Linked DNA regions of Nothobranchius furzeri. The protein of the gene in region 1 purifies or fractionates together with the protein of each later gene. This does not show direct contact. Links are inferred from orthologs where the notes say so. Each region holds a gene or a part of one and is shown in the gene's direction. Other genes may lie near its edges. The genes, in order: eif4a3, ncbp2 and srsf3b.

What was found.
Region 2: the proteins of eif4a3 (region 1) and ncbp2 purify together in Homo sapiens (co-immunoprecipitation; 3 studies listed by BioGRID and IntAct, with this or other methods). This does not show direct contact. The link is inferred for Nothobranchius furzeri from reciprocal best matches to the Homo sapiens genes EIF4A3 and NCBP2.
Region 3: the proteins of eif4a3 (region 1) and srsf3b purify together in Homo sapiens (affinity purification with mass spectrometry; 3 studies listed by BioGRID and IntAct, with this or other methods). This does not show direct contact. The link is inferred for Nothobranchius furzeri from reciprocal best matches to the Homo sapiens genes EIF4A3 and SRSF3.

What each region holds. Positions count from the first base shown.
Region 1 is NC_091746.1:29,292,055-29,295,702, reverse strand, and holds part of eif4a3 (eukaryotic initiation factor 4A-III), read left to right. Parts: intron 1-1,847; coding exon 1,848-1,963; intron 1,964-2,045; coding exon 2,046-2,153; intron 2,154-3,648. UniProt on the Homo sapiens protein: ATP-dependent RNA helicase. Involved in pre-mRNA splicing as component of the spliceosome. Core component of the splicing-dependent multiprotein exon junction complex (EJC) deposited at splice junctions on mRNAs.
Region 2 is NC_091748.1:71,743,389-71,747,500, forward strand, and holds the start of ncbp2 (nuclear cap-binding protein subunit 2), read left to right. Parts: upstream 1-1,216; 5' UTR 1,217-2,244; coding exon 2,245-2,319; intron 2,320-2,409; coding exon 2,410-2,496; intron 2,497-2,734; coding exon 2,735-2,829; intron 2,830-3,304; coding exon 3,305-3,443; intron 3,444-4,112. UniProt on the Homo sapiens protein: Component of the cap-binding complex (CBC), which binds co-transcriptionally to the 5' cap of pre-mRNAs and is involved in various processes such as pre-mRNA splicing, translation regulation, nonsense-mediated mRNA decay, RNA-mediated gene silencing (RNAi) by microRNAs (miRNAs) and mRNA export.
Region 3 is NC_091743.1:46,711,403-46,715,832, reverse strand, and holds the start of srsf3b (serine/arginine-rich splicing factor 3b), read left to right. Parts: upstream 1-1,515; 5' UTR 1,516-1,651; intron 1,652-2,318; 5' UTR 2,319-2,326; coding exon 2,327-2,529; intron 2,530-2,624; coding exon 2,625-2,765; intron 2,766-4,430. UniProt on the Homo sapiens protein: Splicing factor, which binds the consensus motif 5'-C[ACU][AU]C[ACU][AC]C-3' within pre-mRNA and promotes specific exons inclusion during alternative splicing.

The sequences.
Region 1 (3,648 bases):
GGGCTTAGGCAAGCGCCAATAGCACGCCTCCAGGCGGCTCAGAACTCGGCTGCTCGGTTGTTAACATCTACCAGGAGGTCTGAACATATTACACCAGTCCCACGTGCCTTGCATCGGCTCCCTGTCTCCTATCGCATCAGGTTTAATGTCTTCCTGTTTGTGTTTAAGGCGTTAAACTCAGGGGCACCTAAACACCTTTGTGACGTCATCCACCGACATGTCCCGGTGCGTTCCCCTAGGTCAGCTGACCAGAGACTATTAACCGTGCCCAGGTACAGCCTGAAGTCTCGTGGGAGTCGTGCCTTTTCAGCGCTCGGACCAAGTCTGTGGAACGAGCTGCCAGCCGACGTAAAGCAGGCCAAATCACTGGAGACCTTTAAAAGCCGACTACAAACGCATCTGTTCTCGTTGGCGTTTGGTAGGGCTGGGGGTAAACGATTATTTTTAAAACGATTATTCTGACGATTATTTTATCGAATAGTCGACTATTCTAATGACTATTTAGAAAATTAATCTAATGATTATTTTTCTATTGCACAATTAACAAAAACCAGAAAATCTCAAATAAATTCCTCAAAAAAATTGATAAATTGTTACTGTAAGAGAATAAACACTACAGGCCTTCCATTTTGTATAACACTGCTTTTATTGTGTTGGTTGGTTATGTTCTGGTGACGTGTAGAACTTGGGAGTGCAGGCTGCTGCCTGAGAGGTGGTAGAAGATGGAGTGTCTCCATGCTGCTTTGTTTTGGTCACTTATGTGCGTGAGGCGAGTGGTCTTACGGGTTAAACCAAACTCAGGTGATATTTTACACTAAACCGAAAACCCACAACACTCTAAATGTAATAAAAGGGAGATCTACGCCACAAAAAGATGAACTCTAAACCAAAACGTAACGGCTTATCCAAACGCAAGAAGCTGTTAGCGAAAATGTTAACAGTAGCTTTACCAACGTTAAGTTCAAGTTACCAAGTTTAAACAAACCAAAAACACCCAGCAGCAAACAGACCAGCACGGAGGAGAGACTGCTACCACCAAAACAGCTCTCCTCATGTCTGAAAGAAGCTCCTTAATGAAGGGAGAAACGCTCCCGGTGATGTCCTACATCTGCGGTAGAGACCGAGCAGCACATCTGACCCCGGAAGTTGTCCGATGCCGGGAGACGAAGGCGGGCAAAACAGGAAAGGAATCTAGTAGTGGACGGACATTGTTCCGGGTCTTCGGTATTTGGCGGAGATGTTAGTGAAGGCGGAGAAGAGGGCGAACTAGAGGAAAAACAGACAGATTCCTCCTCTATTTACAAACTCCTGGGGATGCAACAAGTGGGCGCGGTGCGTCGACTTCCGGATCTGACGTCGACAAATTTTTAGAATCGAGCCGTCAACGTCATCTAGGCTTCGCTACAGCCCTAGCGTTTGGACACTGAAGTTGGGATTGGGTGGGCAGCATCACTTTGAATGTGTCTGGATCTGATTCTGGGAAAGGACTGATATGGATTGCGAACTTGTACTCGGGATTTCTTATTGTATTTTAAATGGTTATATGTCTGTTTTATTGTTGTGATTCTTATTGGTGTACAGCGCTTTGTTTGTCCGTTTTGGGCGTGTGAAAGCGCTTTATAAATAAAGTTGATTTGATTTGATATACCAGTCGGCCTCTGGTTTAAACAACTTTTCCTGCACAGTTGAAGCTGTTTTTTCCTGTTGATGATTAAAGTCTGCAGCGCCGCTCTCTCTTCGTGCTGCCGGTGCGCGCGGCGGCCAGACCCGAGGATCAGCTGATCTGAGCCCTGCTGAACCAAAGGCAGAGAAATAGTTTAACCTCCAACCTGTGGGTGTGGTTTCAGGTGGACTGGCTGACAGAAAAGATGAGGGAGGCCAACTTCACTGTGTCCTCCATGCACGGAGACATGCCGCAGAAAGAACGAGAGTCCATCATGAAGGAGTTCAGATCTGGAGCAAGGTATTAGATTCTCAGCGGACATGGTGGACACGCACTCAAAACCACAGCATCACATACGTTCTACCAAATCTCTCTCCTACAGTCGTGTCCTCATCTCCACCGATGTCTGGGCTCGAGGTCTGGATGTCCCACAGGTGTCCCTCATCATCAACTATGATCTGCCCAACAACAGAGAACTCTACATCCACAGGTATGAGACGCTAATGTGGGAGGAGCTTATCAAGGCTGGTATTGTTAACGTAGACTAAAAGGTAAAACATTTTGATGAACTGAATTGAAAATATAAAGGAGATTTTACAAAAAAAGCAAACTAACTGAAACTAACGAGCATTCACACAACTAAAGAAAAAATGTGTATTAAAATAGCGGAAAGGAGACGCCCCCTAGAGGACAGCAGGGCTGTGGCAGTGACCTGTCTATGATGCCATCAACAGGAGGGGACCCTTTAGGAAGATGCCACTTAAATTAGGGGTGCACAATATATCCGCATCAATAGGTGTCAGTCCGATAAACAAAACTGGGCCGATATTAACAACCGATATAATTTCCATCTTGTTTCCATCCATTTATCTGAGGGTGAGGGTGGTGGTGTATAAATTCAGTTCAGGTAACCCATGTGCAGCAAAGCAGTGAGGTACGGGGTGCACCGCCCTGCAGGGCCCTATAGACATGGAGCAGGACCTTAAGTTTAGCCAGGTACACAACCGAGAACCAGTGAAGCAAATCCAACACGGGAGCGATATGATCCCTCTTCCTTGTACCTGTCAAGAACCAGAGTGTCCAGTTCTGGGCCACCTGGAGCCGTGCCACCGCACCCAGGCTCAGACCAGCATCTGGTAGAAGCATCAAATTTTAAGTTCGTGACTACCTTCCTATCGTGTGAGGACAGAGAAGCAAGGTCAACCTGAAGGCTCTATTGGTGGTCAGAATCATTACCTCCGTTCTGTTCATATTCAAATGCAAATAACTGTAGGCCATCCATAACTTAACTTCCTCCTAAGAGTCTAGAGTGGAGAGACGGAGCCACCTGTCCCCAGACAGAGAGGTGGGTAGATCTGGAACCATCGCATTATGCTGACAGGGAGCCCCTCACTGGCAGCAAATAGACTGCAAAAAGAGGGGGCCCAGCATGGAGCCCTGTGGAACCCATCATCAGAGTCTCTCCCAGGCAGAGGTGGTCTTCCCTATCCAGACACCACTTAACGTCAAAGTAGGACTGCAGCCATTGAAGGGCCGGGTTAGGGTTAGTTGTTACCGGTCCAAAAATATGTTGGGACTGTGTCAAAAGCTGACGTTCTAGTAAAAGTACGACGACGGCATCGCACACATCTAGCTGAAAGACTGTAACGCAAAACCGTTAAAGGGGCGGTCTTGGTGCTGTGTCAGATGGAGCGAGTCTTGCGTGTTCCTTCTTCTCCTAAGATCCACAATCATCTTTGTTCTGTTAACATCTAAGATCAGATGCCTCACCCTTCCACAGATTCACCCACATCGTCTCTGTCCTCTGTCTCTTGTCCATGTCTGAGACACTCTGAATGACAGGACCAGGACATAGAATAGAATCGACCTAATTAATCCCACAGTGGGAGAATTCACTTGGAGAAAAGGAAGAAGAAGTAAATGATAGCAAAAGTACAGGTGAATACACGAAGGCAGTCCGCTGTTACTGTAACGTTCAGTCTCAC
Region 2 (4,112 bases), on another chromosome or scaffold:
CCTTCAGCTCTTGCTGGGTAGGTTCACGGCTGAGTGTGAAGCGGCTGGGATGAGGATCAGCACCTCCAAATCTGAGACCATGGTTCTCGACCGGAAAAGGGTGGCTTGCCAACTCCGGGTCGGGGGAGAGGTCCTACCTCAAGTGGAGGAGTTTAAGTATCTCGGGGTCTTGTTCACGAGTGAGGGTAGGAGGGATCGGGAGATCGACAGGCGGATTGGTTCGGCGTCTGCAGTGATGACGCTGAGCCGATCTGTCGTGGTGAAGAGGGAGCTGAGCCAGAAAGCCAGGCTCTCGATTTACCGGTCGATCTACGTCCCAATCCTCACCTATGGTCATGAGCTTTGGGTAATGACCGAAAGAACGAGATCGCGGATACAAGCGGCCGAAATGAGTTTCCTCCGTAGGGTGGCCGGGCTCAGCCTTAGAGATAGGGTGAGGAGCTCGGAGATTCGGGAGGGACTCGGAGTAGAACCGCTGCTCCTCCGGATCGAAAGGAGTCAGTTGAGGTGGTTTGGGCATCTGGTCAGGATGCCTCCTGGACGCCTCCCTGGGGAGGTGTTTCGGGCATGTCCTGCCAGCAGGAGGCCCCCGGGTCGACCCAGGACACGTTGGAGAGGTTACATCTCCAATCTGGTCCGGGAACGCCTTGGGGTCCTGCCGGAGGAGCTGGTGGAGGTGGCCGGGGAGAGGACGGTCTGGAGCTCCCTAGATGGGATGCTGCCCCCGCGACCCGGACCCGGATAAGCGGAGGAAGACGACACTGACTCAATACCCTTGGGTATTTGCTTTCCTAAACATATGTTTATGAAGGAATGATTAGGTTTAGTTAGAAGTTAATCCATTACACCATCTCATTTAGACAAGGCAGTTTTATTTATATTTCAAACAGAAGCAATTAAACGTCCTTTCAGGTCCAAGTAAAACGCCCGAAAACAAAAATTAGCCGACAGAGTAAAACTGTAAGGTTCGTCTTCAGCGTTCAGACATAAATTCTGATTGCTTTACAGCCAGACAGGACGTGGTTTATAAAAAAAAAGAAGCATAAAGATGCAAATGTTTAAATCGAATTTAAGATGTACAAATAAAAATATTTAAAAAAAACTGCAGAAGGTGTTGATGTTGGAAGAAAAAGAATATATATATATATATATATATATAAAATCAGTAATTTGCTAATGAGATTTCTTGCACATATATGGCATTAAAACACTTCTGATGCTGATATAAAAATCCCCATCTCACCCTCCGTGGGTGGTCTCATCCTTCCAACCTTGGGTCCTCTACCAGAGGCTTGGGATCTTGAGGGTTCTGCAGTATATTAGCTGTTCCTAGAACTGCACTTTTCTGGACTGAGAGGTCTGATTGTTTTCCTTGGATCTGCTTTAGCCACTCCTGCAGTTTGGGGGTTATTGCCCTGATGACCATGGGCACCACCGATGTCTTCACTCTCCAGCTTAAGTTCTTCTTTGAGGCCCTGGTACTTTTCTAGTTTCTCGTGCTCCTTTTCCCGGATTTGCATGACTTGGTATCGCCACATCAACCACAACGGCTGATCTCTGTGGTTTGTCCACCACCACAATGTCCGGTTGGTTCACCATCACCATTTTGTCAGTCTGGGTCTGGAAGTCCCACAGGAGCTTGGTTCTCTTGTTCTCTACCACCTTAGGGTCAAAAGGTACGTGCAGTCCAAGTGCACCAAAATACAAGAAATCCTGAAAGTGATGGTCTGGTCCCACAGAGCCTGATCTCAACATCAATCGTGTGTCTAGGATTACAGGAAGAGACAGAAGGATGTGAAGAAGTCCATATCCACCGATGATCTGTGGTTAGTTCTCCAAGATGTTTAGAACCAGCCCAGTTCCTTCAACAAATGTGTGTGTGCACCTAGAACTGATGCTGTTCTAAAGGCAAAAGATGGTCACACCAAATATTGATTTGACTTGATTTAGATTATGTCCATTCACTGCTTTTTTGATTCTTGATAAATGATTAACACTTCCAGTTTTGAAAGCATTCTGCGTTTTTCCCACTAATACACTAAGAAGAAACACACACACAAACAACTACAAAGCTCGGATGAAGGCGAAAACTTAAAAAAAAATTGTAAGCAAACGCAAAATGATCTAATTTAGCGATCCTCCGTGTTTCCTCCCGGATGTATTTAGTGGACGGACAAAATACCCGGAAGTACATCATCCAAACTCGCGTCGTTAGCATTCTGCCTAAGTAGTCATTTATCCAAAATGTCTTCTAAACTAAACGCTTTAACCAGCGATTCTTACACTGAGATTAGTCAATATAGAGATCAACACTTTAAGGTAAGGGAGAAGGTGAATGAATTCGACTTTTGTATGTAAATGTGTTTTTCTCCTGCTCTAAGAGTAGTTTTATGTCATGTTTGTTTTTAGGGTAATCGTTATGAACAGGAGAAGCTGCTAAAGCACAGTAACACTCTGTATGTTGGGAACCTCTCCTTTTACACAACGGAAGAGCAGGTAAGACCTTTAAATAAAGCTAGCTTCGGCTTCCTGAGGACTGCTTTACTTCTTACATTATTCCATGAAAACCTTTCAGAACTTCTAAACGTGGTTATAACCAGCTAAATAATCCGATGTTCAAGATCGATGTAGCTACTACTGAGATCTGATGAATGTTGGCTTATAAAAACTAGACGGTTGTGGCTGGTTTATACTAGATTGAAGGCATATTTCGAATCACTGCTAATATGAACAGGTGCACGAGTTGTTTGCTAAATGTGGAGACGTGAAGCGTATCATCATCGGCCTGGATAAAATCAAGAAGACTGCCTGCGGATTCTGTTTTGTTGAGTATCCTTTTAAACTATTGGTAAATGGCCTGTATCTGTATAGCATCTTCTTAAGGTTCTACAGCCCCCCAAGGTGCTTTACAACACAATTAGTCACCCACCCACACATTCACACGCTGGTGATGATGAGCTACAATGTTGCCACAGCTGCCCTGGGTGCATAGACTGGCACAACCGGTCCTACTGACCACCACCAGCAGACAAGGCAGATTAAAAGTTTCGCCCAAGGACACAACAGCAGCATTCTCTGGCTGGAGCCGGGATCAAACCTACAACCTTCCAATTACTAGACAACCCACTCTACCTCCTGAGGTACTGCTGCTCTATCGTCACCTGATCTAGTAAAGCCAATTGATGCACAAGAAAACAAACCGTTTAAATGTCAACAGTGTTTCTGTCTTGACTGGTCGTGTATTAAAAGGGTAGCATTGATGTGAAAATGAACAGAGTGTGGACCTTAGCTGCGCCTGTACCAGATACTACACACGAGGAGACGCAGAGAACGCCATGCGCTTCGTTAACGGTACCCGGCTGGATGACCGGATCATCAGGACAGACTGGGACGCAGGCTTCAAGGAGGGCAGGCAGTACGGGCGTGGCAAATCTGGAGGACAGGTGAGGTTTACGGTCATTTTGGTTCATAATGTGAACTTGCTTAAAGGCCCAGTGTGTGATATTTTTTACCAGTTTACTATCAAATCCTGTGTTTGCAGTTCACAAACTGCAAACTTATATAGTTATACATTTTATATACATAATCTGTGGTCGAGGCTCCATGGTCATCCACCATCTTAAAATACAGTAGCTGTTTAGGGACATACGAGCTCCACGTTACCGTTTGGACTATGACTGTAACCTGAAAGAACCAGCAGAGGGCAGCAGTGTGCCCTGGAAGCATGAAGTCTGCTAATTCAACTAAGAAATAGAAAAGAATAGCTACACCGTTGCTCTACTTGTTAGTTTGAATTAAAAACAACTAAATCAAAAGACATCAAATTTGTCCATTCCTCGTCATGTCCAACACAAGATCCCCGCCCGCCATTATCTGGAAGCCAGCCTCTGATTAGTGTCTCTGACTCCCAAACTCACCTCAAGTTGTTCATCCATCTTTTCGTAGAACCAGAACTCCCGATCCGGTCCCAACGTGTCTGTACTAAAGTCCTTCTACTCAAGTCTCCTCTCTTCCCGCAGCCTGCCGTCTCTCCCAACACGCTCCAGTGCTCGTGCGCTAGCCAGTGGCTAATCAGCGTGGTTTACTTTTATCTCCACAACACTCTACTAACA
Region 3 (4,430 bases), on another chromosome or scaffold:
TCATCTGGAATCTTCATAATTTTTAGTCAAAATTCAGTCTTGAGAAGTGTTACCACAGAAGAGGATCAAGGCCACTGAAAAGAAAATGAGTATTCTGACTTTTTGCTCATAATTTTGACTGGTTTTTTTTTTTTTTTTTTTTTTTTTGCTGAGATTTAAAGTCAGAATTCTTAAAAAAATGTAATTCTTAAGACTTCCCTCTCCCCAGCCACTTGAGCAGCTCTTCCGGAGGAACCCAAATGCATTCCCTGGCCAGGTGAGAGGCATAATCCCTCCAACGTGTCCCAGGCCTCCCTTTAGGTTTTCTCTCGGTTGGATGTGCCCGGAAAACCTCACCAGGGAGGCTTCCAGGGCCGCATCAACTGACTCCACTCGATGTGGAGGAGCAGCAGATCTACTCCATGTTGTTTACTTACATTAAAAATAATAATGAAACCTGTCATGCAGGCCTGCAGCACATTCCAAAAGAAAATTAGAACATTTACTTTGGAATGTTGCCCAATGTTCACAATGCTTAGAAGACTGTTTTATTAAAGATACCAGGTGACAATGTTTATCATTGAAAGGGCATCAGTCATCACTGTCTGTCACTTGTGCCCATAGTTGAAAGAATAGGACTTGAAACAGGCTGATCCAGTGGTTAAACCTTTTTCTACTGCTTCAGTGCCTTTTCTAAGATAAGCAAACTGTGCTTTATGCTGTTTAGGTAAAAATAGACTGACTTCGTTGGGAAAAGATGTCTATCTCATTTGTTTTTCTAAATTCTAAAATGTGCTTTTCTGGTTAAAATGCTGTTATTATTTTTCCAAGAACATTGACATGCTCATAAATCTTTACATATCGTGACTTTGGGACATGGGTGACTTGTGCTCAGAAGATCTGTTATCTGTCAGTGAAGTAATACATTTGTAGTGATAATATCACACCAAACCACTTTACACTGGCTTCCGGTAATTTTCAGTATACAGTTAATATTTATAATGCTACTTTTACAGAATAGTTTAATAGTGCGGCATAACTTTGAACTTTTAAACGTTAAAGCAATAATAATAACAGTAATAATAATAATATCTTGAGGATTTTCAGATTCTAAATTTAAAAAAATGAGGGGCCATAATTTTTATTTGGTGGTATTTGGTTAATCATATCTTCTTTTCACATTGGTATTTAATGTCTATATCTAATTCACACTTATTGCTAAGTTGCAGTTTCTGTAATATGATGTTGTTTTGATTTATAACGAACTGTAAATATTAACTTTATTAATGATAATCGAATTTAGGTTGAGTTCTTTCTAAAACGTTTAGAAAACAGCGTCACTAATTTCCTCATGTGGCCATATATGGTATTGTAGCTCACCTCATTTGGCGTTTGAAACAAATCTTTCAAGAGTCAGTAAAATGCCCAACGTGTATTATCGAGTCATCTCGATGACTGAAATGATGAAAGGTATTCAAAAAAGGTATTTAGAGTAGGAGCCAAACCTTTAGAGCAGGAAACATCCCGCCTTGCCCGCTCCCTGCAACTTCCGGGTGAATATATCCGCAGACCAGCGTCTGTTCCGTCACTCCATTTTCCCTCGACCAACCGAGGAGCTCTAACGTGTGGGAGAAGCGTTTTTGCTCAGAGCTGTAACTTCAATCAAAAAACGGTACTGCTTGTTTTAATACATTCATTGTTTATGATATGGAGCTTACTTAGAAGAAACAAATTTCGGGGCGCGTGTTTTTTTAACTACGTGCACATGGTTTCATTGTTCGGGTTGATTTAGAGCGCCTCTAGCCGAGAGTAGGCCGCGGAAAGACGGCAGCCATCTTATTTTTACAGCTATTAGCGCCGACATTTACTCTGCCGAGTTTTTTCCTAAATGTTTGTATATGTTGATTTGTTTGTTTCGGTTCATTGGAAACTAAAGCGAGTTTGGTTTCATTGGTAACGCCTAATTCATGATTTGGTTTCCGTGCTTGCTAATGTTAGCACTTATCGCTAACGGAAACTAGGTCATGTATTCTTGTTCAGCCTGGGGTTGAATTTATTTATTTCTAATAAGATATTAAAATGTTTTATCGGGTCACAGAACACTTTTGTACATGCATCTAGATTAAAGGCCTGTCTTTTATCACATTACTGTGTTTACATGGGCTATATTTTTACCATCCTAGTACGATTTTCTTCATTTAAAACATCCTAGTATGATTTTCTTCATTTAAAACTATCTAACATATCATTCCTAATTTGTGCAACAGGAAGAGAAACAATGCGGTTTTCGCCTAACGGATCTAACTGCTTCCCATTTTTCTCTTTGCTGTTGATCTCAGCTCCAGTCATGCATCGAGACTGTCCCCTAGACTGTAAAGTCTACGTTGGAAATTTGGGCAACAATGGAAACAAGACGGAGCTAGAGAGAGCTTTTGGCTACTACGGCCCCCTCCGCAGTGTCTGGGTGGCCAGGAACCCCCCAGGTTTTGCCTTTGTGGAGTTTGAAGACCCTCGAGATGCAACTGATGCAGTTCGAGAGCTTGATGGAAGGTGAGTGTAGATGTATATTTTGCTGTAAACGCAGAGGGCATCTGAATTAGTTCTGCAGGAGCTAACGACCTCTGCCCTTTGTGATTGGCCACCAGGTCACTTTGTGGTTGCCGAGTTCGAGTGGAGCTGTCCAATGGAGAAAAACGTAACCGTAGCCGTGGAGCTCCCCCTTCGTGGGGCAGGCGTATTCGAGACCGAGATGACTATCGACGTCGTAGCCCGCCTCCCCGACGAAGGTGACCTAAGTGTATTTGATAACAGACAATAGAGATAAATTGTATTTTTAACATTCTTGCTGATTTACTCATCCATCTCTTTCCTGCTGATAACATTGGTGACTGTTGGTCTATCAAAGCCTTGCAGTTTCATCCTCATTGGCATTAGTCATTTAGTACAACCAGCCAAACAGGTATTTGATCCAATTACAGAATTATGCCTTTTAGACAGGACATTGTTTTTGACAATGTAGCCTCTATGTTGAAAGCTGCTTAAGTGTCACGCAAAATGTGACTTTTGCTTCAGACATAAATACTTCTTTGAAGTGTGTACTGTTGTGTGCTTAAAATGTTAAGACTTAAGGTGGCAAAATAGGGCTGTGAATCAGGTTTAGGCAGAAAAGAAAGGGCTTTATTCATAAAAATATGACTTGTTTAAAGATTTTGGTGGATGAAAGTGCCAAATGTGTTGTGAAAAATTCCTTTTTTTTGTTTGAGGATGCTTTATACTTTTTATCTATATTAATAAGAATGAAACCCGTTGCAGAGCCACCACCATGCCTCTTCTCACCACCCTCTGAGTCAGTCAACTAGTCTTCTTTCAGCATCATGTGACTGCTGACCATCGGGCCCCAATCAGCTTGGCTTGTGCTGTCACATGACCCAGGCATGGCCAGTCGTCAGGTTGCACCAGCCCATTGGTTCCTCAGCATGCCGTTCTCAACCTCCTTCTCCTTCAACCTTTAACCAAACGGCAGCGGCCCACATCACATTCCCGACCAATCAGCGTATTATGTTCCCAAAAGTCTACAACCTACCGGCAGCAGCCTTCGGCTTACCAATTAAAGCAGGAATAAAGCCACAACCAGCCCCCATCTGCCTGCCATCTAATCACCTTGCAGCATCCGGCCAGTCCCATTCAGCCAATTCTACCTACCCGGCCGACAGTCTGCCTCCCTTTCGTCATATCTAGCTTGTTGAAATCCAAAAATACTAGTAAGTTTTCCTGCTTCATTCAGTACACTGCAGATTACAGTTTTAACACTGAAGAAACAGCTGGTTTGAAAAGGTTATTTCTTTATCTCATTTATTGGTTTGTCGTTTTATTATCCACTATTTTTCAAACAGGAATGATTTTATATCAAATATCTGGAACGTCATGTTTCCAGAGGTTTTGATATGATAGCTAATGTTCTTTTACTTGATACACACACCATCCAAAACTCAAGCCTTTCTATGACTCAGTCTATGATTGTGGTGTTGGCGGCGACATTTTAACCTGGTTTTTTTCTCAATTTATTTCCTGTGACATATACATCTTTACTAGCCTCCATTTTTGTTTAGGTATTTCTTTTGAAGTGAACCAGTTTCATACAGATGGTGGCCCCTGTACGTTCTTATTTTTCACACACGGGCCAGTCCACAGTACAGTGTTTGCTCTTCTCAGAGCCCAAACCCTCTTAAATTATTAATGGGATTCATTAGACAGTACTTATTACAATTACAAAAGTTACTCATTGTACTGTGGGATAGGTGAGAGGAGATTACTTGACACCTGCCATCTTTATGTGCTAGGTTTACTGCCAGTGGCTATTTTCTGATACATTTTTCTGAGAGGGGGAAAACATTTACTGCTCTTAAATTAGTAAAATAATAGTGGGCTGTGCTGCGAGTCCAGTATGAGAT